Arabidopsis thaliana: one gene and its partner. The protein of the gene in region 1 interacts with the protein of each later gene in a pairwise test. Each region holds a gene or a part of one and is shown in the gene's direction. Other genes may lie near its edges.

The links. The genes of interacting proteins can lie anywhere in the genome.
Region 2: the proteins of AGP26 (region 1) and AT1G10090 interact in a protein complementation assay, tested with the Arabidopsis thaliana proteins (one large-scale study listed by BioGRID).

The regions. Positions count from the first base shown.
Region 1 is NC_003071.7:19,616,466-19,619,312, reverse strand, and holds AGP26 (arabinogalactan protein 26), read left to right. Parts: upstream 1-1,683; coding exon 1,684-2,094; 3' UTR 2,095-2,338; downstream 2,339-2,847. Other genes in the region: DEG2 (DEGP protease 2), read left to right, coding at 1-33, 120-205, 309-333, 415-486, 585-941; AT2G47935 (uncharacterized protein), read right to left, coding at 1,095-1,258, 1,592-1,724, 1,764-2,063; NET3C (Kinase interacting (KIP1-like) family protein), read right to left, coding at 2,552-2,847. UniProt on the Arabidopsis thaliana protein: Proteoglycan that seems to be implicated in diverse developmental roles such as differentiation, cell-cell recognition, embryogenesis and programmed cell death.
Region 2 is NC_003070.9:3,294,284-3,298,039, reverse strand, and holds the start of AT1G10090 (Early-responsive to dehydration stress protein (ERD4)), read left to right. Parts: upstream 1-1,841; 5' UTR 1,842-2,092; intron 2,093-2,659; 5' UTR 2,660-2,768; coding exon 2,769-3,049; intron 3,050-3,217; coding exon 3,218-3,364; intron 3,365-3,514; coding exon 3,515-3,578; intron 3,579-3,700; coding exon 3,701-3,756. Other genes in the region: AT1G10095 (Protein prenylyltransferase superfamily protein), read left to right, coding at 48-284, 443-562. UniProt on the Arabidopsis thaliana protein: Acts as an osmosensitive calcium-permeable cation channel.

The DNA.
Region 1 (2,847 bases):
GTTCAAGTAGTTCTAAGGCCACGAGTGCACCTGGTACAACTCTCTGCATGTACCATTTTAAGCCTTTTGCGCATCATGCCTTGTAAGCTAATTACCAATACTTTGTTGCTTTTAAATAGGTACCGTACCATATTGATGGAGGTCAGCCATCATACATTATAGTTGCTGGTTTGGTGTTTACTCCGCTCTCAGAACCCCTGATAGAGTATGTTCTTCTCGGCTTGCTAAGATGCAAAAGTAAACCGAAACCTTCTTCATTATTTCCCAAATGCCTAACTGTTTCCTCCTTTTTTTAAATGTATAACCAGGGAGGAGTGTGAGGATACCATAGGCGTAAGCTCACTCTACTAAACTGTCTCTTAGTTTAATTTGTGAATCCACTATAACAGTTTAGTTTTTCCTTCCGATTTGCAGTTGAAATTGTTAACAAAGGCACGCTACTCTGTGGCAAGGTTCAGAGGAGAACAAATCGTCATCCTATCACAGGTAATCCCTCGGAGGATAATGAGTTCTTAATTCAATGTGCATTTTGGTGAGTGCAACAATAATTTAATAACTAACTCACTCGACGAGCATATCTATAGGTATTGGCAAATGAAGTAAACATCGGCTATGAGGACATGAATAACCAGCAGGTCCTGAAGTTCAATGGAATTCCAATAAGAAACATCCATCACTTGGCACATCTCATTGATATGTGCAAAGATAAGTATCTAGTTTTTGAGTTCGAAGACAACTATGTTGCTGTGTTGGAGAGGGAAGCTTCAAATTCTGCTTCCTTGTGCATCCTCAAAGATTATGGAATTCCCTCGGAAAGATCCGCTGATCTGCTCGAGCCATATGTTGATCCAATAGATGACACCCAAGCGCTTGACCAAGGTATTGGAGACAGCCCTGTGTCAAATCTGGAAATCGGCTTTGATGGACTGGTGTGGGCATAAAATATTCGAAAAGGCGTCCGCAGATGGAAACCACTGAAAGCTCATACAGCTTCCCCGAACATATGGGAAAGCTTTCAGCTTCATCCTCATTCATAAGGTCTTGTGCTGCTCAAACTCAAAGTTTAGTGAATTCTTTCTTCTTTATTCAAACCTCTATGGATTGAGTTTAATAGAAAGTTGGCCATGAGAATGCTCGGCCATTGTGTTCAGATGAATGTATACTGCTAAAAGCATTGCCAGAATCTCGACAAAAGTCAACAAATTATTCAGTGTCTGATTTTCTATGAGAAAATGAAATGCAGCAATGTCTTCTGTGACTGTAATATATATATATATATATATATATATATATATATATATCAGTGAATCGGTGCTTCCTTTTTACCAATTCTATTGTCTTCATCAACTGACAATAAACCTAAGATTGTTGCAGATCAGGAAAAAGCATAGCAAGTTAAAAGCTGGCACTCATTTCTATATTTGAGGGAAGAGCTTCACGGGACTCTACTTTGCTTTTTTAATAACTTTTTATTCACAAAATCAAAACATACAAACACTCCGACACAAATCAAAACCCGACAAATCCATATTTCATGTGCTCTGCCCTAAGCCAGAGGTCCACAACCAAACCCACCAATCTTGTCTTTTACCTCCTCTATAGCTGTATACCTTTTTCTTCTTCAGTTTCTTAAGGTCTCTCAGAAACATTCTCAGAGAAGCAGGAGAGACATTCACAGTAACCATGTCCGTCTCTCTGTTCACTGCCTTCACCGTTCTCTCACTCTGTTTACACACTTCAACATCTGAGTTTCAGCTGTCCACCATATCAGCTGCACCTTCGTTCTTGCCTGAAGCTCCATCGAGTTTCTCAGCTTCTACCCCGGCCATGTCTCCAGATACCTCTCCCCTGTTCCCTACTCCAGGTTCAAGCGAAATGTCTCCTTCCCCGTCGGAATCGTCTATCATGCCGACAATCCCCTCAAGCCTTAGTCCACCAAACCCAGATGCTGTCACTCCTGATCCTCTGCTCGAAGTTTCTCCAGTTGGATCTCCTCTTCCAGCTTCTTCCTCTGTTTGTTTGGTCTCATCACAACTCTCATCTCTGCTTCTTGTCCTACTCATGTTGCTACTAGCTTTCTGCAGTTTCTTCTAGTAATCATATAGAAACAGCGAGTAAGCAGCACTCTACACAATATCATCAGCAGAAACCAAATATTCACAAATGTATTCTTTCTTACTCTCTGCTTCTTCTGAATTTTTTTCATGTAATATTAATATAGCTTCTTCTAGTGTTCGTTCGTGTGAGATTTGCTCATAAAGCACTCTGCAGTTTGGGCTAGTGCGCAGTTGTTGTACTTGGTAGCAGTGATAGTGTGTGTTTTTTGTGCCTCAAAGTCAAAATTGATTGATCATCCAATTATGTATCACTCATCACATGTCCTTGTCTGAAACTGGGTTCTTGTGATTGAACAAATCAGAACAGCATGCATTATTAAGTAGGATAATTACCGGTTATAATACAGCACGGAAAGGACAGGATATATCTTGATAAACAGTGAAATGAACCACAGAAAATATCGAAGCTAAGCTCATGAGGTAGATGAGCCAACCTAAAGGACCTTGTTGCCATCGCACATAATGTAAAACAGCTTCCCAAAGAACTTGTTTAGTGGCTTGAACTCCAAAACGGTGCGTTGCTTGAGAGAATGGTGGGCAAGGCGTCTCTTGAGGCTCAAGTTCTCGTCTTTGAGGGTCTCAAGGGTTAGAGAAAGCTGTCTGATGACCTCTCTCTTCTCTTCGTCCTTGTCTAAGAGCTGTTTCCTCAGAGCATCAGTCTCTTCGATCAGCTTCAACCTTTCTTGTTCCAATTGCCAAGTCTCATCTTCTTTGCAATCAGCTGCGGAGG
Region 2 (3,756 bases), on another chromosome or scaffold:
TGATTGAATTAGTGACTTATTTGAGTTGTTATACTTTTTTCTTCCAGGCACTATGGCTTCACCGGCGGTTCCTCTCTCTTAATTGGATAATGTATTTCGCTTGCAATCATTCAGATGCTTCACCTGAAACCGGAGAGAGTATTATTATGAATGAAGAAATTGCCATCTTCATTGATAATGAGATCCGTCTTCTAGATTCTTCTATGACCGTTCCGGATACCAAATTTGAAGATTTTCAAGCTCAAGCATTGCATGCTGCTGTCTACACGCTATGGCTGACAAAGGTAACAGTGGTCTCTTCTTGTCCAAATAAAGTCATCAAAAAAATTGCCACTATTGTCAATCTCACAAGTGCAGAAAAATAGATTGGGAGTTTTCCGTATAGCAGAACGATAGAAATATGGTTGACTTTGATTTCTGATATGCATTCGTTTATAAGCAGAGCATTCCAGTACTGTGGAGAATGCTCGAGGAGAAGCTTGGAACAGAGAAAGTGAAGTGTGTACTGAACACAATTGCTCAAGAGAGACCCTCGCTTCTGCATCATTTGGTGAATGTCTGAAGACCCTCCATAAATTGGTGTCAAACCATGTCTCAGGATCTGTTTGAATTGTTTTTTTTTTTTTTTTTTTTTTTTTTTTTTTCTATTTTCGCCGATATAGCTTAATGAGTTGATTAATGAAGAAGTTGGCCGAGAAATCTCTGTCATCAAGTGTTACACGAGTCTTCGAGTGGTGTAACCAAACCTATTAAAAAAATGAATGAAGGTTATATAAGCTTCCAAAACCAGATATGTCGTATTCCGTAGAGACAAACGAGACCGTCACAGCTATCAAAGGGAACTAAGTATATTGTGTCCTCCTTCGCCTTCTCCCAAGGAGTAGGGATCTTGACCGATGATGAGGAACCCAACACCAGTGTAGTTAGATGTTTTATATCCGGTTTACAATAATCGTCACGCCATATGGAGACCATGAGACAAACGAGACCGTCACAGCTATCAAAGGGAACGCCATATGGAGACCATGAGAACATCTGGATCACCTGATTGCTGACGCTCTGTCAACTGTCTTTGTTGGAAGAATGGAGATTCGATAATTGATTTCCATTGTTTAGACACGGCCTTTGAATCTCAGCAGAGAATCCACAGCAAGTCTCTCTAGGATGCACTCTACCACATCGTGGGGCAGCGATTCCGTCCTCGAGCAGCGTTGTTTTTACTTGTGATTGCAGACTAGTCCTTGTTGATGAATATACAGAGAGGCTTATTTGCTTTATAAGCAAGTAATCTCACAAATAAACTGGAAAGAGGAAACCTATCACTCTTTTACCTATTTCTTATGAGCTTTGAATAAAGATACTGACCGTTGGGAATATCAAACCGATAATTATGTAAAGATGCTAAACCAGTTATATGCATACCGCATCATAAAGCATGTATCATAATTCATAGTCACACCTAATAAAGAGAATCGAGTTATTATATAGTCATACATAATAAAGAGAATGAATAGTCAAATGGGCATAATTTAATATGACCGGTCCTTGTTATGGGGTAGGTCTCACACTCTCACCACGCGGATAATAGATATGCGACCTTTTTTAATTTTCCCGGGCAAAAACTGTTGTTAACTGTCAATGTTAATTCCACGTGTCACAATCGTATCGCTTTACAAAAATCTAACGGTCATAATTTCGCCGACAAGGTAGTCACTATCACAGGCTAAAAAGACCTTTGCCGACGAGATATTAGTTTGGGCCATTCACGTTATGCCACGTCACATGATCTGGCGATTCCACATTTACACCAACGTGGAGAATTTTGCCCAATGATTTTTTTCAGTTATCTTTCCGTCTAGAGAAATATCCTCACCAAAATAATAACATGTAATGTGTATACAGTATACCTAATCAATCATTATCTTTCTTTAATTTTGTTGGATTTTTTGCATATTGCAAAGTTTAGAACGCGAGCGAATTCTCCGCGGAATTGGGGTTAAAAGGAAGAACTTTTAGGGTTTTTGATTCTTCGGGTTTTCTCGTGCTTTGATTCCTTTCAAGTCAAAGCAAAGCATTACCTTTTCTCGTCCATGTAAGTCAGAATTGTTCAAATTATTGTTTTGTCTTTTCTTTTGTGGGTAAATTTTTTGTTCGAATTATCTACGATCTCGTTGTTTGTTGATTCTCCTCAATCTCCTCTTCGATTTTGATCGAATTTCATAATCTGGGCTTTGGTTTCGCTCGCTTTCTTGTTTCCATTGTCGTAGTGAGTTCTCTTCGCGAATCAAATCCTTTGATTCCTCTGTTTTTGGTGTTCTGGTTTTCTTAGGTTCTATGGAATCGTGGGTCGTTTTAGTTCAATCATAAATGACGATTGAGTTACATTATCTTATCATCAGCCACAACTTTTAAGAGTTGATTATATTTTGATCCCGTATCTTTGGTTGTTCCGAACATGGAAAGTTTTAGGTTTTTAGTTTTTTCATCCCTTGTCTAAGTAATCGCTGTTTTACAACTGATCAAGTGGCAAGTACGTTACTTATGCAACTTTTGAGATCAGTCCTTACTTGTTAGAGTAACCACAATTCATGTTTCAATGTTACCACATGCTTCATGGCCATATCTCTTATCCTAGATTATTTCTTGCTTTTCCTTACAGATCTTTTGACGACCTAAGTTTCTGCTGTGAATTGTTAAACAGCCATCAGCCTGGGCTTGATTAGCCAACCCTGTTAAGGCAGGGTTTGAACTAAAAGTGAGATAGTGAGATGGATGTCTCAGCACTTTTAACGTCTGCTGGGATTAATATAGCGATATGCGTAGTGCTTGTATCGCTTTATTCCATTCTACGAAAGCAGCCAGCCAATTATTGTGTTTACTTTGGTCGATTGCTTTCTGACGGAAGAGTTAAACGTCATGATCCTCGTTGGTATGAGAGGTTCGCGCCCTCTCCTAGTTGGCTCGTGAAAGCTTGGGAAACCACTGAGGAAGAGATGTTGGCTGCTGCTGGTCTGGATGCTGTGGTTTTCATCAGGATGGTCATTTGCAGGTTAATGATACTTCACCTATAACATGCTTACTGTAATTGAATAGACAAGCATGGTATTTTCTACTGTTTCTATGTTCCAGCACTTGTTTTATTTCTATGTGGTATTTGTGTGTTTCGTTCTTAACAACTCTCACAGTTGGGTTATCGTGTTTTTTTTAAACTCTGCAGCATTCGTATTTTCTCAATCGTCGCAGTCGTTTGCCTTGCCTTTGTGTTACCTGTTAACTATTATGGACAAAAGATGGAGCACAAGGAAGTCCATTTGGAGTCATTGGGAGTATTCACAATTGAGAACCTTAATCCACGCTCACGATGGTAAAGTGGCGGCATATAATATTAATATTATCAGATAATATGCATAGCCTGTTTTTCTATCTGATTATGTTTCTCTGTGCAGGAGAAGATAGATTGCCAGTATTTTGTACAATGAAGTGCTGATCCTTGTTTTACTATTTTTATTTCCAGGCTCTGGGTTCATTGTCTCTCATTGTACATCATATCCTCTGCAGCATGTGCTCTTCTTTACTTTGTGAGGATCTTATACCTTGGTTCATTTCACGCTTACTGTTTCTCTTTATTCCATCACTTCCTCATCGTTTTGGTCTCTCGTCTCTCTCTCTCACCCTGTTTATACGTGTTTCACCACTGTAGGAGTATAAGAACATAGCCAAAAAGAGGCTTGCCCATATTAGTGGATCTGCCTCAAA